4 linked regions of the Solanum lycopersicum genome follow. The protein of the gene in region 1 binds, or shares a complex with, the protein of each later gene. Links are inferred from orthologs where the notes say so. Each region holds a gene or a part of one and is shown in the gene's direction. Other genes may lie near its edges.

Region 1 (6,414 bases):
ATCAAATTTTCTTATATTATTTTATAACTTTAATGGCTAGTGATGTTTGTTGACCGAAATGATCCGAAATAAAGATGGACGGAGGTTGCCTTTATAACTTCGATGTCTGATTTTTTCTCATTCTTATAAATTCGATTAACACTTAGCAAATTCAATTTTTTTTCATATAAAGAGCGAAAAATAAAAATGAAGAACCACAACACAGTTTAAAATGATTAAAATGGGGTGAAGAAAACAATTGTTGACATAACCTCCAGGGGTGGTGGTGGGGGTGAGTTTTTTTTCTTTTTGAGTATTATAAGACAATAGTTTGAATAAAAGTTTATTTTTAGTTATTTTAATTAATGTAATGCCAAGTGTCATTAGAAGGAAAAAAGTTACAAGTTTATTATTAATAAAAAAAAGTATGTAAAGAAGTTTGAGACTTCCTCACGCGCTTCGGTGTAGTGAGATGCACTTATTTTGCCACATCAGCATAAAGTGTTCAATAGACACATGTTTTGAATTATTTAGGGCATCTCCAACCCAAACATCAAATTTGGTTCAACTCCATCCACTGCACCAAATAATATTTTTTCTCTCTTTATTATTATTGTATTATTTCTTATTTCATTTATACTTTTTCTTTCTAAAAAATTCGCTACATATAATTTATGTTATTTTCTTTCATAATTGTTTAGTATAAAATTATTTTGTATTATAATTTTTTAAAGGGAAAATGCACAAGTATCCCCTCAATCTATGCCCAAATTTTCAGAAACACACTTATACTATACTAAGATCTTATTACCTTTGAACTTATTTTATAAGTAATTTTCTACCCCTTTTTAGCCTACGTGGCACTAACTTGAAAAAAAAAGTCAACCAACGCTGGATCCACAAGATAGTGCCACGTAGGTCGAAAAGGGGTAGAAAATTATTTATAAAAAGTTCGGGGGAGGGAGGGGGATAATAGGACCTTAGTGTAGTATAAGCGTGTCTCTGAGATTTCGGGCATATGTTGAGGGGGTACTTGTGCACTTATTCCTTTTTTAAACAATATAAATTGCTAGCAAATATTATACATTATACATAATAATGGATAATACAAATAAAAGTGAAAACATTAATGAAATACAATTAAATAAATATTACACAATTAAAAAAATATATTAAAATTCTACATAAATATTCAACTTTCAAGATCGCTTCGGTGTTCCCATAAATGCTCTATTAATACATTACATAGTTCCAAATGAACCATAGAGTTTTGAAATTTAAAGAATTTAAAGAAGAAAATTTATATTAATGGAGTGGATGGTATTGCTGATCCAAATGTTCGTGAATTTGTTCGACAATAACAAAGTCGAATAATGAAAAAAAGAAGTCAACAGTTTCAGCAGTGCAACCACAACCACAATAATTTTCGACTCCATACAATTTATATTTTAATATTATTGATGGATTCAAAAAAAATCTATCAGATTATTAAGTTATTATATACTTTTAAAATTACAATTTATTTTATATTTCAATTTTGATGTATGTCAATTACTACATCATTGAATGTTTATTTTTTTTTGCTATTTTTAAGTACAATATTATTTGTTTAAAAAGTTATATGTTTGTATTTTTAATTTTTGTGAAAATTAATTATAGTTTATATAATTTATAGTAGAATTAACATAAATTTAATTTTTTAGAAAAAAGTTATATAGAAAAGTTAATTTAAAAAAGTAAATTTTATATCTAAAATTTATATTATAAAAATATTACATAAAAAATAATTAAATATAAAAGATATTTAATTAAAATATACAATTTATATAATGTTAATTAAAAATTTGCATAATGAAATAATATTATAATATTCAAAAAGTGAATTTTTATGATGAATAGTGTTACAATATTATTCCACACACCAAATTTGTTGTAGAAATTGGAATAAGTTGAAGCTCAAAATATTAAATTTTACATCAAATATTTAATATTGAATTAAAAATAGTATTAATTATTCAATAGATACAAATCATAGTTAAAATATATAAATGAATTTTTATGTAGACAATTTTAAAAAATTGCAAATGACTTAAGTCAAAAATAAAATATACGTGTAAGTAACACAAATTAGATGGACATTTTACTGAATCTGTGAAAGCTGCTGCGAAACCTATCCATATAACCCGCTCCATTTTCAATTCACAACACTCTTCTCCAGCCGATATCACACTTACACCTCTCTTCTTTGTTGCAAAATAAGCGAAAAGGAGATATCATTTTTGCAGTTCTGATCTTCTTCTTCTGTAATAAGGCGAAGTATCAGCTAAAAATTGAGTATTTTTCAAGGTGATGGAGAACGTAGGTATAGTTTCTTCACCTAAAATGGTATTGGGTCTCTCTTCAAACTCAGTAATTTCAAGCAAACCCTTCTTTGGCCTTCCTCATCTACCCAAAAGACCCTTCAAGAATGGAAGAATTGTCAGACCCACAACTTGTTTTGAAGTGGTTTCTTGTTTTCAGGGTCCAAGGCTCACTAAAAAGATTGGTACTTTCAACTCTTTTATCTACTGCTCAATGTCTTTTTATCTTAAATGTATTCTGTATTTTATTTGAAGTTTCAATTCCTCTTAAAGTAGATTTTATTACCCATAATTAGCTGTTTTTGAAGATAATTTTCGAAATTGTGGTGTTGTGTGCTATTTTTTTTTGTTTATTTAGTAGTTGGAAAGTGCAGTTTTGATTTCCCTTCATTTAAAAATGAATCTTTTATTGAATGCTATGTTACTCTTAAACTTGATTGCATATTATATTAGAAATTATTCATTATGGGTAGTTATTTTTGAAGAGAATTTCTGAATTATGGTTACTAGAGTTGTTTCAAATTCTGTTGGTTGTGTGAAGTGCTCCTTATTCTTATTCTCTATCCCTTGGTCTCCTCTTTGTATGTGTATTGTGTTTATCTGGTTCATCACAGAAAGAGTAGATCTGTTCATTTGCATTATATTTCTTAGAGTTGTTTCTAGATATATTTAGTTGTTAGGGGGTGCACTAGGCTGAGTTTTGATCATGTTAAATTTGCTGTTTCTACTTTCAATAGGACTAGAAACATTTTTTTCTTTCTTAATTTGTTTAAAGCTTGGCTGCATCTCAAACAGGAGTTCAATATTAACAGAAGTTACCTTTTGAGAGAAATATTTGAAATTTCAGTCCTAAAAATGTTTCTTGATTTATTTGCATGTTGGTAGGCATAAATGCCAATTTGTTCATACTAAAATAAGTGAATTGGTGTCTGTGTGGAATAGTTTAAAGTGCGAGTTGTTTCTACGAGGACTGTGACATTCTGCTAGTTAACTCTTGCTTGTGCATATGTTTTGTATTTGGTTGGATAGGACACTTTGTCGATATTGTTTTCTATTTGTAAAACAAGTATACTGCTGTGAACTTTGATGTGAAGAACAGTGGGACGGATAAACTTAATGATAATTCTTTTTGTCTAGTTGCTAATGGATATTAAGTCAGTTCAGTATTTTGTATAGGATTTAGAAAGGCTGCTATGTTTGTGAGGTAACTGTATATGCTGATAGGTTACAAAAGTAAAAAAACTTTTGCAACATTTGACTATGTTAATGGGTAGATGGTAAAACTTACTACCCGAGCTAGAATCGTTATCAAATGCAAATCAAGTATCTTGCAAATGAAGGCTTTTGGTATTAATAGTTTAGATGGTGTCATCTGATAAATGAGTTGTGAATGCCATCAAGAACATGGTGACTGATTTGAAGGTATCTATTGATGAGGTTAATGTGGGTTCTTCCGTAAATGGTACCCCGTACCGGGTTAAAGATATGAATGTATCAAAAAATCACATGTATGCTAATATAATTCATTTTACTGTAAATATTACATAAATATCTCTATGATGCCAGCTTTTGAATTCATTTCAGAATTGAAAGATCTTAAATTTTACAGGCTCCATCTAAAAATAAAAAACTGTTACATGCTGATTTAGTGATTTATAAGGCAAGTAGGACTGGAAACAGAGAAGGAAAATATAGAATAACTGGCTTATAGATGAATTGGCTATATTTCATGAAATTCTCTGCAGCACACCTAAATACTCAAAATTGCACTGCTATGGAAGCTTAATATAGTGGCCTAAAGCTCAAATAGTTTACTAAGAAGAACAATACATAAATATTTTTTTCTTGTTTGATAACTGAGAGATCCCTGCTAATGGTGCACTGTTTGAAACTTGGTGGATAATGGAGTGCCCACCCTTCTCCACTTAAATACCAGGCTTTTGTTGTTTGGATCCATTAGTGCGCCTTACCTAAACATCACAAGTTTTGCTCTCACTACTAGACCAAAGGCCTGGGGATAAAACAATGCATAAATATAAATCTAAAGCTACCAAAAATATGCTACAAGTAAAAAATCTCTAGGATGAAAGATTTTCCCACATCCGGTTGTGTCTGCATCATCCTGCTCTTAATTGATGAAAATCAGTCTCGAGTTTTCTGTTGTTGCCGACGGGTAGTAATATACCCCAACGGAATCCTGCCTATAGGTGCTTATATATTGGGAGGCATGCAACAACAGAGCCAAAAGTCCATTTAGTGCACTTTATGTAGGTATTCATATGCCCTTCACAATAAAGGAAAAAAAGAAAAGGAGAGAGAGCCTAAAATATAGAAGTGTTATCTAAAATATTACAAGCAGAGCATATTTTTGTTGACTAGTAACTATAGTTAAGGGCTCAAAGTGGTTAAGCATATCAAAAATCTAATATACCATTTATAAATGTTTAACTTGGAAATTGATTGTTTTAATTTGTTGAAGAATGATCCCAATATGTAGTATGTTTTTATGTTAGGAAAAAGTTACTAATGGCCTGATGCAGTTGTCAGCTCAAGTTTCTGGATAAGATATTGTTCCCAAAATATATTATAGGATAATGGTAGAGAAAAGATTTGCAGATTGGGGAATTTTGTATTTGTTTATCAAAAAAAGATATTTGTTAAAAGATGGAAGGAAGATCTTTGCGTTTTTAACAAGGCCTTGCTAAGGAAATTGCCGTGAAGATTTAGGATAAAGGAACATGTACTATGGAGAGGTGATATCAACATACATGGATGAATGAAGCAGCATGCTCGGGTAGACTTCAAGAGTTCTAGCTATCAATGGGGTGGGGTGTTGGAGAACAAGAAACATCACGAATCCTTTTAAGTATGCCCTCTTTGCAGGAAAATTATACAGGGAAAGGAAGAGTTATGCATCTCTTTGCGGGTGGGGGATGGATGAAAGGGTAGTTTTTTGCTGGACAGGAGGTGCGAATATAACATGTTAAGGATCACTTCTCCAAAATCTAGAGTTTTTTAACTTAAAAGAGATGATACTAGATCAAGTTCTAAGATCACATGATGTGCATGTTATTTGGGATCTCAAATTTATGAAGGAAATTTTGGGATTGGGACATAGTGGAGTTCCAAAGTCTATTGAAATACTCTACAAGCAAATTTACTGGTAGAGAGCCATGACAATTGGGTGTTAGATAGCAGGAGTCTATTTTTCAGTGAAAAGTTGCTACTGTAAGGTGCTAGCTAGAGCGAAGTTGGATTTCCCTCATCTGTTTGGACGTCTAGAGCTCTTGGAAAGGCTGTTTGTTTGCTTAGAGGATGCGAATTTGACAACCAAAAACTTGAAAAGAGGAGGATTACTTATGTTAGTTAATGCTTCATGTGTGAACCCTTGTGTAGGACATGGGATATCTCTTACTACAATGCTAGTTAGCATCTAAGTTTCTCATACTCTTCACTTTCGGTGCCGCACCCGTGTCGACACAATGTGGGTGTGGGTGTGGGTGTGTCTGGTCATCTAGTTTTGGGTACTTTGACCAAATTCAAGGGAGAAATTCAGGACAGATTCAATGGTTTATATAATCAAAACAAAAGCTAAGGTGAAATTGAAGAAAATGAAATACCTTTGTATATATAGATTTCTATTGTCACTCCCTTACCTTTTATTTCCCTTCAGGATCTCCTCTTGATCAATATTTCGTCTCAAGTTCTCCACAAATTATTTCATAATTTAGGTTTTATAACTCTATTAGTTGATATTTGAATTTTTTTTAGCTAAATCTCCGCACCTGTATCCATGTATGGATTTGTATCCCCGATTCTTAATATTTTGATCATAGAGGATCTGACCTCTAGATCCACACCTGTATCAGACACCTGCACCCAATTCTGAGCAACTTAGGTTAGCATCACATTTTTGAGAGCTTTTTCTATTGTTCGGGATACAATGATTTGGGTGCTGTGAAGGATGCATTATTTAGTTGGGCCATTAGAGAAGTGAAAAGAAGATGCCAAACGTGGGATGTATCTCCAATAGTACTAGTGTGGATAGCATTACGGGAAAGACGGAGATTTGAAA
Region 2 (6,597 bases), on another chromosome or scaffold:
AAGAACTGTTTTTATCAATTTCTTGATTCTCAATTACTTGATCAATTGCTTCAGTCAGCCTGATACTTTCATTCGAAATTTTGTAGAGCTCAGGTACTTGATCCTTATTCATTTTCACAAGAAATTTTGAACCAAAGAAGATGAAAGATTTGTGTTTTTTTTTTAAATATGAAACTGGCGCCTCTGTGAGAGAGAACGCAGTTTATTAAAACAAACCCATCATTTGTGAAATGTATACGTATATATATACATAATAAAATCAGTGTAGAAGTATGAAATGTCGAAAAAAAATATCAAACTAATGGCATAATTATACTTTGGACAACCAAACAGTACCCATGTACTTACATTATGATATATAACAAACGAATATATCATCCTTTGGAGGTGTTTAAAATGATTTAAAAGAGTTTAAGCGTTAAGTTGGTAAAGACATGAGTTGACAATCCGAGTCAAGTATAAAAATCTCACAGTATGTGAATACTTTTTAGAAAAGATCCAAAGAAAATTGAAAAAACTTAAAAATATGAAAACACCTCGAGGTTGTAAAATTTGATTGTTATTGATTTAGTTTGTATTTGAAAATTTTGAATCAATTTAGACTATGTACATGAGCTCTATATATGCAAACCTATGTACTAAGGGGTCGTTTGGTTGGAAGACAAGTTATGGTACAATTAGATATATTAGGAGTACGAAAAATTAATGAATTGAATAATTTTGCACAATACATAAATATGTCCTTTAATTTGGCTTCAAATCACATTTATGTCTTTCAACTTTGGGTGTGCACAAGTAGACACTTAAACTTATATAAAGTTGAACAAATAGACACACATGTCCTACATGTCATTTTTTGTCCAACGTGGTGTCCTACATGTATTTTGCCATGTAGGACTCATGTGTTTTAAAAAAATTTGATAGTTAAAGTGTATGTTTGTGCATAATGAAAGTTGAAGGTCAAAGTTAAAATTTGAAGCCAAGTTTAGAATCCAATGTATGTATTATGCCAATAATATTTAAAGAATAATTTGTTTGTTTACAAAAATACCCTCCATCATTTAAAATAGAAAATAGTTTGAAGAACATCTATTATTCCACTCTCGAAATAACTTTTCATGATACTATTAATTATTATTATTCTTGCTATTATAATCAAATAATGGATAAGAATAATTAAACGATCTCTAATGATCGTTTTGGTAGTTGGTTAGAGTTATGCATTGATATCTATTAGTAATGTAGTGATTATTTATGAATTAGTCGATCCATTATTTTATGCAGATATGAGTTATTCGTGTATTAGTTATCCATAAGACATACATTAGATTATTAGAATTAATTATTCCACTTTCTATTATGCATTAAATAATAAATAGATTTCATCATAAGTTATACATGTATTAATTGTGCAGATTTCTTAACTGTCAACTAAACATTGTATTAATTTTGTACATGTATAATTTATTTTCTATGATTTTATCCACCTACTAAACATGTATAAGTTGTACAAAAATTAATATGAGTAACTTGTTTCTCATCCAGCTTCCAATCACTTATATACATGTAATTATTTTCATTATTTGTGTCTATGTAAACATAATTTGACATGAGATTGAAGTCTCAGTCTAATAGTTACAAGTAACAACTTTAACTTGCATGTAAATGCCAAGTCTAAAAACAATATGCGTACGAATATATGTTTTTCAGGTCATTAGAAACTTTTTATGTACTATCGAACAATAATTTGGTGAATATAAAATGGAGGTTATTTGAGTTAATAAGCTTTGATTATTTTTTTATTGTTGCATCTTTGTGGTTTATACTAGGTCTTACTCCAACTAAATAACTTATGAAACAATGCAGATAAGAAATTAATTGTGTCAACTTTGTACTATACAAGTTACATGAAAATTAATTGAGAAGTCATCCCTATATTTAATTACTTTATGGAGAATCGAAAAGGATCAAATTTGTTTTTGAACTATGCAATTAAAACAAATTTGTCATTCATTACTATGAAGGTCAAATATGTCCTTGTCGTTACTAAAATGGGCTAAATTTGCCCTCGTTACCCCTCCTATTCTATTTTACAAGCACGTAGTAATAAACAAAGATCTCAAAAGTTTATTTTTTAATGAAAAAACACCACACTTGGCTTCAAGTTGCTTGATCTTGCATTTGATGTTTGTGAACAAAACGACCAGATATGTTCAAATTTGACCTCAATTGGCAAGTTAACACTTTAACTTTGAGTATGCACATCTAGATACTTCGACTCATCTTTAGCGTCCAGCTTTGTAAGTAATCATCTAGACACCTCTAAAATTTACATGTCACATCAGCATCAAGTGTCCACGGAAAATAGAGGGGTTGTTAGTTGAGATCAAATTGAGTTCAATAGATATTTTTACTTAATAGTTGAGATCAAGTTTGAGTGTGCCTATTTATATCTTATGCCGATATTCTTTATATAATATTTGTATATAAACTAGACAAACGAGACTATTATATATTGTGATTTGTGATGGATGGGCCTTTAGTAGATGGATTAGTAATAATAATAATTGGACCTAATGTGAACCGAAAGCCCAAACTTGAAATACGAAAGCCTTCTTCTCCGAATCCTCTTCCCCTTTCTCTGTAAACAATCAATGGAGTCCAAACCCTCAAGCGGATTCGGACCCTCCAGTAGTCCTCTACTGTCTCTCTCCACCTTCGTCCACCAGCACTGCTCCCGACTCGGTGCTGAACTCGCTAACCGATTCGACGAAGCGAAACGGCTGAGTTCTAAAATCGCCGCCGATTTTATGCAGCAGCCGCTGCCAGCGGCGATAGGGAGGAGTTGTTCGTTGCCGTTGCATTCTTATCATCTATCTCTTCCGTTCGCTTCGGTGTCGCAGCGTCAAGAGAAGGTCGCTAAAAATACCGGTTTGAGCTCGGATTATGTTGCTAAGACATTAACTGGAACTTCTGTATACACAGTTAGCAATTCTAACAATGAATTCGTGCTCATTTCGGACCCGAATAGTGCGAAGTCAATCGGATTATTGTGCTTCCGTCAAGAGGACGCCGAGGCATTTCTTGCTCAGGTGAACTTCATTTTTTAAAATGAATTTATCGAATTTTTTCTCTATAGAAGAGAGTGAAAGGAGAGATGAACTCCTTTATCAAAGTAGGGTAGCAGGAAGGGGAAAAGATATGTATAAATTAGCCCAAAAGAGAAAACTAAGTTAAAGATGATTGCTTTAAAAGAAATTATTGGGTAATTATCATTGGAACATTGCCTTCAAAGGTCAAATTATTTATTTTTGGGATGTATTGAACCTGAATATAGTGGAATTGATACATAAGATAGCAGATACAGAAGACATAATGTGGACCTTATTAGTTTGCAATTGAGGCGTTGTTATAGAAGTTTTGATATACATGGAAGGCTTGTTTGTGGAGAAATGAACACGTGAAGATTTTCAGGTACGGTTGCGGAAGAAGGAAGTGAGAGGTGGAGCTAAGGTAGTTCCGTTGACACTTGATCAGGTGAATTTTTGTTTCCTTTTGCTAGGAATTTTTCTTTTAAGGATGTATCTGCTTTGGTGATTATTTTCTTCTTTCCTTTTAAAAGTTTGTACATTCATTTGAAAAGAATTGCAAACTTTAGGAGTGACATTAGATTACTCTATGGAGAAGGCCATTTTCTTGTTTTAAGGATTGAACTTTAGCAAAATTTTAGTACCATGAAAGTGTCTGGTAATAGATATGGTATTTGTGATGGACAGTTTTGTCTCTAGTGCTTATCAAGATTGGTTGGTGGAAAGTCAGAAGCTACTGATGATCGACTTGTGTGTATATGTACAATCTATTTCTTTGCATATATTGATAACTTCTTCTTGCAAGAATGGGTATAAACTTTGATGGTTATTGAATCGTCCCTTATTAGTTAAAGAAGTGTTGGATTCAAATACAGCAGAATGGAGATACCGATCCTAACTTGTTTAGATTGACACATAGTTGATTGATTGAATCAAAACAGAGCATGCATGGTATTTAGCATAAGCAATGGAGTCTTTTCAAACGCACCCCTTGAGATAAGGCTCGATTAGATTACCTGACCATCTCAGGTTAAGATTAATTTACTGAGCCATTTTCCTTTACCATTCCTTTTAGTGATTTCTTCTCTTTTACATCATTAAGATAAATTGTATGCATTATTGATACATTTTGTATCTCTTGTTCATCCATAAAAAAGGGGATCCTATCGTGCTCCTTTTGAGCCTCAGACGTCTGATCTGTCCCGTTTAATATATCTTCTTCTGCTATTAAATTAAAAAGAAAAAATTGAAGCTTAACTTAAGAATGAAAGACATTTTTGTCTCTATTTAACAGGTCCAGTGTACATTAAATAATCTACTGCAACTAGTTGCAGTTGTCTGTATGTGCAAGAATTTCTGTTTTTTGCTTTTCCATTTCTTCCTAAAGGTGTTGCCAGGCACTTGTCCCGTATTTTGAATAGTTACACGTCTTTCTTGTTGGTATCACTTTGCAGGTTTACATGTTGAAGGTTGAAGGAATCGCATTTCGTTTTTTGCCAGATCCTGTTCAAATTAAGAATGCAATGGAGGTAGTTACCCATGTTGGTCATCCTTAAGTTTTGTGTCTGGGATCCTTGTAATTTCCACTGAATGTAGTAGAATTGCACAAGGACGCCTGTTCAGTTGTGCAAGTGAAAGTTATACTGTATATGTATATTCATCTACCTGTGATAGTTTTACGTGAAAGTACACTGGCATGTAGCTTTAACTAATGACCAGATTCCAGAGGTGGTAGAATTGCTTGCAACCCATCAATTTTTGAGGTCCACTGACATACCCTTGTTTTTTCTTCTCTTTACTGTTAATTCAAATATTTCCAAAATGGAGGTCTTTTCGAGATTTGAACTTGGGTTACTGACATGCCTGGTATGTAGGCTCTTGCTCACTAGTCTAGTAAATGAAGCATAGATTATTAATGGCTTGACCTCCATTGCCACCCAACTTCTGTCTCCTCCTCCTGGAAATATCTATTTGGCTAAACATAATATTTCAATGCATGCTTATTAAAAAAATCTGTTCATCTCAACATTGTCTTTTCCTGTGACAGTTAAAAGCTTCTGATGTAAAGACTGGATTTGATGGAGTCCCTGTTTTCCAGGTAGCATATAAACTTTTTTGCCAACTGTATGCAAAAAAACTCTAACATTACATGCTCAGCCTGTGTATTTTTTGAATTATGAGCCTTCACTCACTGGAAAGCTTTTGCTAAATATTTTGTATATCAGAGAGTGGACTGCTGAATATGGTTAAACTCCGCTTAATTCTGTAGCTTTTTGTTCTTGTGCAGTCAGATCTCCTAGTTGTGAAAAAGAGAAACAGACGATACTGTCCAATATACTTTCGAAAGGTATGTTGGTTTTTAATATCTTGAACTGGAACTAGTCAGAAGAAACAAAAAATTAGATATAGTTATTATTCGTGATGGTTTTCATTGAATTCCTTTTCGGGTATACAGGAGGATATAGAAAAGGAGTTATCATCAAGGGCATTGAGAGGATCTAGTGTCTCTCAGCACATTATGGTATCATAATCACTTTTATCTTTCTGTTTTCTTTCTGATAGGGCGTGCAAATAGATTAAGAATGGTCAAACATGCTAAGAGGTGAATATATGATGTCTCTGAGAACTTACTTTTAGTAAGTGTTTTGGAGTAAATTTCATTCGCATTGATCTCTCTTTTATCAAGTGTAACATTGTCTGAATGCGTAGAGGATTTAAAAAATTGAATTTACGTGCTACAGGTTTCACTTGGAGAGCCTAACATTGTAAATTTTGCATGTAATGGAGAGGATTAATGGTTGAAAGTTTTTACTTGAAAAATATAGCCGAGTCTCCTTAGTCAATTATCATGTTAATGTAAAATCTCTTACTTCAATTACAAGAAGGAAACAGAGTTAAGAACCCTGAAAGAGGTTTGATGTATGTTAAGGACATTAATGCTTTGCTGTTTAAAATCTTTTGTATGTAAAAAATCACCTTGCCAATCCTCTTACAGTCAGTATCTTTTTTGTAAGTTATCAAAAGAAAAGTGTTTCTTTTCCATTCCAAAGATTCCTATCGGACTATCATAGGGGCTTGCTTGTCCATGAAAATACAAGGTTTACTGGCTTTTCTGTATCCGTCAAGATTTTTTGTCATCTGACCCGTCATTGTAACAAGAGACTATATCGGCTAACGTTAACTTGCTAGTATTCTTTTTCTTTATTTACAGGTAGGGACTTTGGAAGATGTCCTGAAAAAAATGGAGGTAGGTGCTTCCTGCTTGGAAATTTTATATGTGAATTTTAGAAGTTGAATTATACTTTGAATTCTTCGTTTCATGCATCAATAAATCGGTTATCGCACGACACGTTGTAAAGATGAATCAATTACATCTTGGTCCGGAACATGTTGAGGGACTGATACCATGAGTACTCATTTCAGAGGAAGTAACATAATGAGTAAACCATAAGCCAAAGAAATTAATACTTATCTACGAGCTTTTACCCATTACCCTTTTTTCCCGAAG
Region 3 (6,382 bases), on another chromosome or scaffold:
TTGGCAAGGCTTAGTCAATTTAAGTTAATAAGTAATAATCAACAACTAAAAATCTAATTTCCCCTTTTTTTGATCAGTCATTAGTTAAATAATATTAATTAATTACATTAATTTATCCACTTAAATAAAAATAATTTAATTCATTGCTTCCACCTAGGTTCGAACCCGAGTGGAGCAAGACTTTACTCTTAGAACCCATTTTCGGCCCTCTCTTCCCAAAATGCCCCACCACCTTATTAATTAAATAATTAAATATATATTTAGGGTAATTATGATATTACCCTTAGCCTGGAAAAAGGTCATTTTACCCCTAGACCCTCCAAACTTAAGATTTCTCCTTTTTAAGTTCGATAAAGACTCATCCGGGTAAATCTTCATATTCGGGAGCCCTACATGTCTGGACCCAATCTTTCCTAGCTCAACTAAATCCCCAATTTATTTGTCTTGTCTGTTGCAAGGGTTCAGAGGCCTGGTTCTACGCGCATCAATCCGTGTGAATCCGATCTAATCGTAGAAATTCTAGACACATTATGCATTACTTATCTTATACATTTTTAGGGTTGTTACAGTATAAATAGCCAAATGATACATAGAGTTTCGTTTTGAGTTCCAAAAGTTCTCTTTGGAAAATAAGGTTGAGAGTTTGAGAACACTTTACCTTTAAAGAACACTTTTCTAGTTTTGGAGGTTTTACAACTTGGTGCTTAATGTTGATAAATTGAAGTTGAACCTAAAGTGAGTTTACTCTTAATTGCTTAATTTCAAGTTATCCATGACTGCTTTCATGGAATGCATACATTCTTTATATTTTGTGATGATTGGTCAAAACCCCAAGATCTAGGAGTGCTCAAATGGAGTTGAGTGTTGATTTAATGTGCAGAGTATTGTTTTATGCTCTGTTTTGTTGTTGTTCATACAAGAATTTGATCTAATTACCATAGGTTTAACTTGAAGGTTAAGGCTGCAAACTTAATTCCTACATCTGATCTCTGGTTGATGCTCGAAAGAGATTGAAGTGGGTAATTAGTTTAATACTAGCAATTTAGGTTTGATGTTTGTAACTTGCTTGAAAAAAGGTTATGAGTTGGATCTATTTCTTTGTTCTTGAAAGAAAGAATAGAGTAGGGTATTGAGTTGTTTAAATTGACATTTAGATGAGTCCGAAAGAAGATTCTATGCATAGATGCTTTGAGATCAAAGATAATTAACGTCAATGAAGATGACTTAGCATATTCATGAATTTTCATCTCTATAAAGCAGCACAATCACCCATTCCAATCCCCGCATCCCTACATTGCTTGTTAACTCTTGGATTCATCTATATTTTAGTTCAATTTCAATAATTGATAACCTAAGCTTTATATTAAGTTGATTGTATTATCCACCCTATTGTTCTTACTATTACAAATGTGTTAAATTAAACTCCAAATTTCTTGATAAGGAATTCTCCACTATATATCATTCCATGTGGGATTCTATCCGTACTTTTCGCTAAGTTTTACTGATAGTGATTTGAGCGTTATCAGTCAACTGCTGCTACTATTGATTAGTGACTCTTCATAGTTCGAGGGCTAGGTCATCACTGGCTTTATCGTTTCTAATCTTTTCAATTTTTAGATATTATTCGTGGCGTAGAAGTTCATGTTCTAGTCACATTATGATTAATAGAGGACTTGTCAAACATAGACAATGTTCCATGTATTCCCTTATGTACTATGTTGGTATCTTTTATGCCATTGGTAGATTTACAACTTATATTGATTATATCTTTTGGATTGTCTTTATTATGTCATACTCATGTCAAGTAGTTTAATTTGTTTATAGCCTCTTGGTGTTTCATTCGCCATGTCGCGCCTAGGGATACTTTGCATCGTGACAATTTTATTTATTTTCTTGATTTTTCTTTTATATGTGTACTCATAATTTTATTTAATTAAATTAGCTTATAAATTTAATTTATTTAGAAAGAGTTGTTTGTTACTAAATAAATTCAATACAAGTCAATGCAATATTTAAAAATGTTAGTTGTTTAACATTTACTAATTGAAAAAACAAATATATCATCACATGACATTTTTGATCTTAGTTGTATGTATTATTTGTTGATATATATATTTTCTTATTATTTTGTTGATTAATTTATAAAACTACATACATATAACGAGTTTTTGGCCAAAAACATATTTTTATGTGTAAACTACTTTGGTTTATACAATTTTAATATCGTTTATCGATTTACAAATATAACAATTCATTGGTGTTGAAATGCGGCAAATGACAAATAATATTATGTTGACCCAATTACAAGATAATAAACCTATGTTATTCCAAAAAAACAAACAAACCTTTATTATTCAACTTGTACCCCCTCAGACCCCTATCCTCTTCTTCTTCTTCCTAGTTCCAAACTCCGGACGACTTGGTTAAACCCTACTTGAACATCAACTAGTTATTAGAAGAGGTAGTAGATATGAACCCATCATCACTTCTCCTCCCTATCAATCAACCTCCTCCTGTCAACACTTTCCGCTCTCAATTTCTCAATCCTACACCTCTCCGTCTTACCCCTAAATTCTACCTAAAACGCCGCATTCAGTCCACCGTCATTTCATCTTCATCTGCCTCTCTTCAGCACAAACCTACTTCCGTCAACCCAGATGTCTTTGGAGGTAAAAAGGAACTTTCTCCTATTCAATCCCTTGTTGATGCCATGTCACCCCCCATAAGAATAGCCAGCTCCGCTTTGATATTTGCTGCTGCTATTGCTGCTGGATACGGTCTTGGTCTTCGTTTTGGTGGATCCCGGAATGCTGGGCTTGGTGGTGCTATTGCTTTTGGTGCTGCTGGTGCCGGCGCTGCTTATGCATTGAATTCTTGCGCTCCTCAAGTTGCTGCTATTAATTTGCATAACTATGTCGCTGATTTTGACAACCCTGCTGCCTTGAACAAGGAAGATATTGAATCAATTGCCAATAAGTTTGTCCACTATGCACATTTGGCTTTTTTTTTTTTAAAAAAAAAATATATATATGTGTTATCAGTGACTAATTAAATTAGATACCAAGTGTGAGCAAGTTATTCTCTACTGCAGAATCTTGGACTATTTAGCTACATTATGAGCTCTCACACCCAACTTTCTCATACTTATTTTTCTACGTCTTTTCCTTACCAATTTACTGCTTTTTATCTTTAAGGTATGGTGTCAGCAAACAGAATGAGGCATTCAATGCGGAGCTGCGAGATATATATTGCCGGTGAGTGCAAAATCAAGTACTGATTTCTTAAAAACTCTTACGGCTGACACGAAACTTGCATTTATTACAATTTTTCAATGTTATATGATAATCTCTTTTTTTTCATTTTTGGTTTCTTCTCCCTGACTCTCGAATGACAAATTTTTCTTTTTATGAATTGCTTGCTTGGATATAAATAACTAAATTTTACCCTTTGAAGCACTTTGTAGGATAAAGTATGGCTTTTGCACTTTGTAGAATAAATTTATTGTTCTTCCATTCCCAAGATGTGTCCCAAAGTGTGTCAAGTTTTGCAAATCAAAAAAAGAAGGAAAATACTGTCACCTTTCTGGAATTACAACTTCTTCCACATACTTTTCTAGTTTTCTATAATATTTTAGTTCTTTATGACCCAGAAAGTGTCAAATTTTCTAACCTTGTCTTGACATATTGACCCAGTTACATTTGAATGGAAAACTGTCCATCCTGTTGTGATACTTGTCTTGGACACCTAAAGGGAATCAAGCATAGTGTTTCTCTGATCCATTTATAATGTTTATCTTGAAATTTGAATGTTTTTGACTATTTTATCTACCAATGACAAGGAATGACTAACTTGGTAGTTTAAACATTGTCAGCTTATCTACCGTCACATATGCATCCAATTTTGTTTGTGTTCAGGTATATATCTGCTGTCCTTCCTGCTAGTACTGAAGAACTTAGAGGCGATGAAGTTGATACAATAATCAAATTTAAAAATGCATTGGGAATTGATGATCCAGATGCAGCAGATATGCATATGGAGGTAACTTGAAGTATCCATCTGATTCTGTACCTAAGAGTTGTAAAACTTCTAGCTGTGGTTGGCTCAAAGTTAAAATGTTATGTTATCAAATAATTTACCAAGTATTAAGAAACTCTTACATGTTGATCTCTCAGATTGGTAGGCGAATCTTCAGGCAAAGACTTGAAACGGGAGATCGTGATGGAGATATGGAGCAACGTCGGGTGGGTCATCTCTTCAAAAAGCTTCAGTTTCCAAAGACTACTGCCTTAAGTTATCGAATAACAACAAATGGAACTTGATCATTTTTGACTTCTCCAGGCATTTCAGAAGTTGATATATGTCTCAACTCTTGTATTTGGAGAATCATCTGCTTTCCTTTTACCTTGGAAACGTGTTTTCAAGGTTACTGATGCCCAGGTAGCGGATTATTTATCACTCTCTCCCTCTTTGTGGAGTATTCAGATTGTGCAGTGGCATGTCCTGCTTGTGTGGTTTTAACATTTCTGTATTTTGATTTGAGGTTCCTGTCATTTGTCTCTTTCCCTGCCCCCTTCATTTATGTAATATTAGATTTCTATATAGTGCGACCCCCTGTGTCCTTTTACTCGTTTTAACATTTTTGCCATTAGGTTGATGTTGCTGTCAGGGACAATGCACAACGGTTGTATGCCTCCAAGCTTAAGTCTGTTGGGCGAGGTAAGTTTTCTCTATTGATGCCTTTGAAGGCACTTTTACTTCTAACGTAACCTATTCATAGGAAACCATTTTACTAGTTTTCTTTTGCATACCTAATTAAACTAATGCTCTTCCAAACTACTTGTCGATATTCTTGGGTATGTTTTCTAAAATTTTCGATCTCTATTAAACTGATTCTAATAAATCTGTATATGTGCTTAAATTTGGCTTTTTTGTGGTATGTGGTGCTTAATCCTGAACAAAGATGAATCATACCATGAGGCTCCACATATGTGGCATGGGTTTAGTATGTTCTATTCATGCACTGAGTAGAGACTTTTTTGAAGTCTTTCTGTCGCTTCAAATTTCTTTGCATTTTAGTGATATATCCTATTGGTTTATGGGTTTTGAGAGCCTTCTGACGATAGCTCTTGAATCTGGACATCTCGTTATTGCTTAGAGTAGAGGGAGTCTTTGTATGATTCCACCAATCTTATATGGAAAATGCTAATTCTTTCATTATCTTCACGAACTCCACTCTTAGTAGCATCTACCTTGAAATTCTATGTTATGGACTTGTGGCGGTGTCAGGGTGATATCACTTGTTTCTTTTCATGATTTAATTCCTGCACTGCACTTCAGTGGTTTTGCATGGTTAATTTAATTACTTTACCTGTTCCAGATATTGATGTGAACCAGCTGATCAGTTTGAGAGAAGCACAGCTTGCATATCGATTGTCCGATGAGGTAGTGCCTAAAAAAATTATCATAATTCTGCTTCATATCCCTGTAGAAATACCTTTTTCTCCTCGAAAAAGGAGATAAGATTGCTATGAATTTGTTGCACAATATTCATGATTGAATTTACTTTGTCCATGTATTCTGTCATCAAATATATGCACAATCATGTCCATTTCTTTCTGTTTGCAGCTTGCACATGAGATGCTTAAGGAGCATGCAAGAAAGCTTGTTGAGGAAATCATATCAACTGCTGTTGGCATATTGAAGTCAAGGACAAGAGCAACGTAAGGTCTTTTAAGTATATTTAACCTCTTAAAAGGGAACTTCCATTTTACTGGATAAATTTTTTACCAAGCAATTCTAGTTAATAGAAATGGGACTGCTCCTATAATTTCTAGCAAGACAGAATGTATCATATTCTTTGCTTGTATCATTTGTTTAATTCAAACTGATTGGGTTTGTTTAGCAGGGAACCCACGCGTGTCATTGAGGAACTTGATAAGGTATTGTCATATAATAATTTGCTAATCTCATTGAAGAACCATGCTGATGCTAGTCGCTTTGCTCCTGGCATTGGGCCAGTTTCCTTAGTAGGTATGTACGTCGATGATCTTGTCTGACTCTTTTTATAGAACTTGTTAGAAGTTGCGGGTTTCTATCAAGTCTCAAGTGAAATCCTTTCATGGAGCTCTTTCTTTCAGCTGTTTTTATCTCAGTTTTTTAGCTGAAGTTAGTTTTCCCTTTTCTTCATTCTTTTTCTTCCTGCTCCTTCAGGAGGGGAGTATGATGGTGATAGGAAGATGGATGACCTAAAACTTCTTTACAGAGCATATGTTACAGATTCTTTGTCAAGTGGTCGGATGGAAGAAGACAAGGTAGGTGGTTTTAATTTCTCTCTGCTTCATTTCTTCTGCTTTTTCAGGTTTTTTGGAATTATTATTTTCTA
Region 4 (4,889 bases), about 7.8 Mb from region 1:
GAGCGGAAGCGCCAAGGTGAGTTCTACTCGATCTATCCATATAATGTATATGAAATGTTTTGGATGTATCTTCATTGTTGAATGCACGAATTAATAGAAGTATGGGCACCTAGAGGACAAACTTAATTGAGCTATGCTTGGCCAAATATGCTAATTATACCAAGCAACAGGATTTCTAGGATAGAAGAAAATAATCACGAACGTTGGCCAGCTATTTTCTTTTTTCTCCCTGATATTGTTAATGGGTGATGTCAAATTTGAATAAATCGAACTGCATATTGTAAATAAGATGAGACGAAGTATGAGTTGCTTCTTTCCATTGTACACACTTATGGCTAAGTTAATTGTGTAGCCATGAAATTGTATTATCCATAAAAGCAGCTTGGTTTGGATGTTCATAAGAACTTGAAGGTGTCCTTCAACGACGAATTAAGAAAGGAAGTCCGAACAACCTTAAAAGAAAGAAAGTCTAACATGACATTTTACGTACCTATGATGATTATAGGTCATGTTGCTTGTTGCTTCCTTGCTTTGGCAAATCTCTTATTTTTTACTTGGAAAAAACCGAAAATTAGCGTGCATATTTGGTCAACTTGAGAGGGTGCGGGAGGTACTTGAGGACGCATAATTAGCTCTATTGTGCCCCCCCCCCCCCCCACCGCCAAGGCTTTGGTCCAGTGGTAAGAGCGTAGTACGTAATGTGTGAGCTAGGGGCACATCACAAGCCGTGCCTCAATTGGCCCGCGGAGAATTTTCTCAACTATCAGGAAAAGAAACAACATAATCTGCTTTATTGTTGATGTAGAGCTGAGGTATTTTGGTTTAATGTTTTCCTTTTATTGACTAAGCAGAAAGGGGATCTTCCACCGGGGAGAACACCAGTTACCAGATCAAGCTCGCCATTACAATTTCAAGATTCAGAGATTGAAAAAGAATTGAACGAGTTAAGGAGGCGGGCAAATGACTTCTAGAGATCACAGTCGATCTTTCACACTACAAAACATCTTCCTTCAGGCATTTGTTACTCAAAGATTGTGGCTTTTGGATCTTCCGAGAAGTTGCCTCATCGATAAAGGCCAGCGAATATAGGAAGTGAAACTGGAAAAAGTATATTGAGATATGTTGATATATCTTTTTTCAAATTATTGACCTACATTATGGCAATATAGTGTAAGCTAGTCCTGACTACAGTTTTGTATACTGCCACCCAAATGTTTTCATGTGAGAATAGTCACTTCAAGTTGCATTGTAGTAGATTTGGAATTTCCACAGTGTTGTTTTTGCTCTCATTTTGTGACGACATGCTTCAAACTTTCTTCGCAAGGTACGGGCAAGGTTGTGTATACACCATCCTCCTCAAAATCTTATTTTTGTCTCATAAATAATGAGCTACTCGGAATAATGTAGCGATGGTCCCTTTCTCTTTGACATGAACTTAGTGAAACTGAGTTCTCTGCAAAGATGCGGTGTAGCGAATGTAGGGTTGTTCAAAATTGATCGGAACCGATATTCCGTATCGAAAAAAAGTTATTGGTTTAGCGGTTTTGAGAACGGCTTTGATTTTTTTTTTGTTATCGGGTTATCTTTTGAGGTTATCTCTTAACTGGATAACTGATAATCCGATGGTTAATTAAATAATTATATTCATATCATTTTGCTTATAAAGTCCTTAATTTAGAGTTTGGTTTCCTACTTTTGTTTCTGATTGTCTCAAACACTTGGTTATTCTACGATGTAAAAGTGTTTGCTTTTGAGCAAGATGAAACTTGTGAATTCATGTGCATGGTTAAATTGGTTTGCCACCTTGTTCTAAAGTGATTTTCAATGTGTTTTTTTGTCAAACTTAACGGTTAAATAAATTATCGAACCGAACGATCAATAACTGATAAGCTAATCTTAATGGTTCTACAACCGTTTAGCATATCTACAAATCGATAACTAATAAGTCAAATCGATAAACTTCAAAGCCGAAGTGTTCGATATGTAGCCCTAACTGAACGGATAGACGATAAGACCCTATGTACCTCAACTATAACTTAAATGTGTACGATAAGTTAGAGATGGCAACACACAACAATCAATTGATTAATCCTGAACTTCACAACAACTTTAATCGAATGTACAGATGAGAGGTGGCAACACATAACATAACAACCAACTGACAAAGAACTTCACACAATCTTAATTGAACCTATATGATATTTGAGAGGTGGCGACGCACAACGAGCTATATTGAAAATTACTCGTTGATCAATCAATAATCCGTTGTAGTCTAGTTGGTTAGGATACTCGGCTCTCACCCGAGAGACCCGGGTTCAAGTCCCGGCAACGGAAATTATTTTTTTTCTAATTTTTTAATCAAAATAATGCATTACAACTTGTACCTCAAACAACAAAAATCCATCTTTATAAACACCCAAAAAAAACCTCACATTTCCCCTAAAAATGGCTTCCATTCCTCTTCTCCGTTTCACTCCCACTACTACCCCTCGTCTTCTCCCCCACCCTCTCAGCCTCAATTTACTCCAAACCCGTATTCAAACCCGAACCCGTATCCATACCAAACCCACCACTTCCATCTCCGCCTCTTACAACCCAATCCCCGCCACCGACCGCCTTATCTCCGCCGTCGCTTACTTTCTCCCCTTCTTCAACGGCCTTCAATACGGCCGTTTCCTCTTCGCTCAATACCCAACCCTAGCTCTTCCATTTCAACCAATTCTCCCTCTTCTATCACTCTACCGGTCCCTCCCATACGCTAGCTTTGTCACTTTCTTTGCACTCTACTTAGGTATTGTTCGGAACGAGAATCTGAACAAGTACCCCCGGTTCAACGCCCTGCAAGCGGTGGTGCTCGACGTTCTACTGGTGCTTCCGATGTTGATTCAGAGGATATTTTCACCGGGTCAATCGGGTATTGGGCTGAAATTTACGGTTTGGATGCATAATGGGCTTTTTGTGTTTGTTGTGGGCTGTTTTATTTATGGGCTTGTTTCTTCTATACTTGGAAAAACTCCTTATTTGCCTTTTGTTACTGAAGCTGCTAATAGGCAAATGTAGTTCTTTTTAAAATTTATTTAATATGTTGTTTTGTGGTTTTCTCTAATGAAAGGAAGGTTTTTGTTGCATAGAATTGTAATTTTAATGTATGATATTTTAAATCGAATCGTCGATGAGATGTTTCTCCATGAGAGATGCAATGGAAAGGGCTCGTAAAGTTCAAATCTTGATAAAGTAACTTCTTGGGATAAATAATAATATCTTGATTTTGTAATGGAATCATTACACGTTATACTTCACACCGAACAACTCGTAAATGTACTAGTAATAATGGGTTTTCAATAATACATTGTTTCTTTATCAGCTATCAAACGATCTCTAAGGAATATCAATGGCTTTTGTTGAATAGAGAATATAATTCCTTTGCTTATATCAACACTTTTCAAGGTTTGGTCTACATGCATATCATACATTGTCCTCCTCAGATCCCACTTGTGGGATTACGCTGACTATGTTGTTTCTGTTGTCGTAAGTTACATTGTTAAAGGGTTGAACTTCAACAAAGAATAATAAAACTACATTTTGTTCATCATGCAAGGCCAAAACCAGAATACTATCATTGACCAGAAAAACGATAGGGCTTCATAACCTGAAAACCATCTCAATGTAACCATAGGATCATTCATTCTTCTGGTGAAGCAAATTAGGGAGCTCTAATTGAACGACTCTTGCAAGTGTAAAACCTTTAATCGCGCCAAATCTTCATCACATTAGAACTACCATAACTTGAGTTGCTAATAGACTCCCAACAAGTCGCTGCGTAAACTATACAGTACTCCAGCCAACTTCTTTCCTCACTTTCCTGTCTTTCATTATTTTCCTCACCATTTCTACCTCTTCCCACATTCCTACACAACTATATAGGTCTGAGATTGAGATGTAGTACCCATCATTTTCCGGATCAGACTCAATAGCATGTTTTGCGATTCTTATACCCTTCTCAACCTGACTGTGAAGTTTACAAGAACTTAGTAAAGAACCCCAGATAGCTGCATCTCGAGCTATTGGCATGGACAAAACCAAAGTTTCAGCGTCATCCAGATTACCAGAACGACCAAGAAGATCAACCATACAAGAATAGTGCTTCAGTGTGGGCATCAACGAATAATCTTTCATTCGACTAAATATGGACTTTCCTTCTTCAACCAGCCCTGCATGAGCACACGCTGAGAGCACAGCAAGAAAAGTAAGTTCATTCGGCTTAATTTCCGTCTGTTCCATGTTTTTGAACATTTCTATAGCATCATTTGCTTCTCCATACATAGCATAGCCTGATATCAGTACGTTCCAAGAAACGATGTCTTTCTTTTCCATTGAATCAAATATTTCTCTGGACTTTGTTAGCTGTCCACATTTTGCGTACATATCAGTCAATGCAGTATCAAGCAAAGTATTATTTCCGAACCCAACTTCCTTGATGTATTGATGAACTTTCTCTCCTTTCTCCAGGGAAGACACTTGAGAAGAAGCGGAGAGCAAAATCACCAGCGTTGCAATATTAGGCTTGTAACTTTCTGCTCTCATCTCATCAAAAAGACCAAAAGCCTCCGCAATGTTTCCACAACTAATATAGGAAGTCATCATTGTGTTCCACGTAACAACATCCTTATCGGTCATCATACAAAAGACTCTCCATGATAAAGTAAGATTCTTTCTTCTTCCATACATATCTATTAGAGAATTGGCAACAGAAACATTTCCAAGCATCAGGTTTTTTATAATATGACAATGCAGAGATTCACCTAAACGGAATTTTTCCAACCGAGAGCAAGAAGAAATCACAGATATCAGGCTGTTGACATCAGATTCCATTCCCAAGTATTGCATAT

What was found. Proteins that work in one complex are often made in the same cells at the same time.
Region 2: protein TIC 40, chloroplastic (region 1) and protein TIC 22, chloroplastic share a complex: the UniProt entries of both Arabidopsis thaliana proteins name them as parts of the tic complex. The link is inferred for Solanum lycopersicum from reciprocal best matches to the Arabidopsis thaliana genes TIC40 and Tic22-IV.
Region 3: protein TIC 40, chloroplastic (region 1) and protein TIC110, chloroplastic share a complex: the UniProt entries of both Arabidopsis thaliana proteins name them as parts of the tic complex. The link is inferred for Solanum lycopersicum from reciprocal best matches to the Arabidopsis thaliana genes TIC40 and TIC110.
Region 4: protein TIC 40, chloroplastic (region 1) and protein TIC 20-II, chloroplastic share a complex: the UniProt entries of both Arabidopsis thaliana proteins name them as parts of the tic complex. The link is inferred for Solanum lycopersicum from reciprocal best matches to the Arabidopsis thaliana genes TIC40 and Tic20-II.

Annotation. Positions count from the first base shown.
Region 1 is NC_090810.1:11,552,639-11,559,052, reverse strand, and holds the start of protein TIC 40, chloroplastic, read left to right. Parts: upstream 1-2,132; 5' UTR 2,133-2,328; coding exon 2,329-2,524; intron 2,525-6,414. UniProt on the Arabidopsis thaliana protein: Involved in protein precursor import into chloroplasts. Part of the motor complex consisting of a co-chaperone (TIC40) and a chaperone (HSP93) associated with the import channel (TIC110).
Region 2 is NC_090803.1:65,446,640-65,453,236, reverse strand, and holds the start of protein TIC 22, chloroplastic, read left to right. Parts: upstream 1-2,541; 5' UTR 2,542-2,654; coding exon 2,655-3,092; intron 3,093-3,474; coding exon 3,475-3,537; intron 3,538-4,543; coding exon 4,544-4,618; intron 4,619-5,136; coding exon 5,137-5,187; intron 5,188-5,376; coding exon 5,377-5,436; intron 5,437-5,544; coding exon 5,545-5,610; intron 5,611-6,300; coding exon 6,301-6,336; intron 6,337-6,597. UniProt on the Arabidopsis thaliana protein: Involved in protein precursor import into chloroplasts. Imported into the intermembrane space via the Toc translocon. May be involved in the import pathway used by proteins without a cleavable N-terminal pre-sequence.
Region 3 is NC_090808.1:26,784,126-26,790,507, forward strand, and holds the start of protein TIC110, chloroplastic, read left to right. Parts: upstream 1-2,326; 5' UTR 2,327-2,470; coding exon 2,471-2,976; intron 2,977-3,194; coding exon 3,195-3,254; intron 3,255-3,914; coding exon 3,915-4,038; intron 4,039-4,172; coding exon 4,173-4,241; intron 4,242-4,338; coding exon 4,339-4,437; intron 4,438-4,649; coding exon 4,650-4,716; intron 4,717-5,377; coding exon 5,378-5,442; intron 5,443-5,625; coding exon 5,626-5,720; intron 5,721-5,902; coding exon 5,903-6,030; intron 6,031-6,210; coding exon 6,211-6,311; intron 6,312-6,382. UniProt on the Arabidopsis thaliana protein: Involved in protein precursor import into chloroplasts. Forms a voltage-dependent cation-selective channel at the inner envelope of chloroplasts, which specifically responds to a transit peptide.
Region 4 is NC_090810.1:3,714,627-3,719,515, reverse strand, and holds protein TIC 20-II, chloroplastic, read left to right. Parts: upstream 1-2,408; 5' UTR 2,409-2,445; coding exon 2,446-3,060; 3' UTR 3,061-3,133; downstream 3,134-4,889. Other genes in the region: membrane-associated protein VIPP1, chloroplastic, read left to right, coding at 1-16, 852-971; pentatricopeptide repeat-containing protein At4g39952, mitochondrial, read right to left, coding at 3,826-4,889. UniProt on the Arabidopsis thaliana protein: May be involved in protein precursor import into chloroplasts. Not redundant with TIC20-I, TIC20-IV or TIC20-V.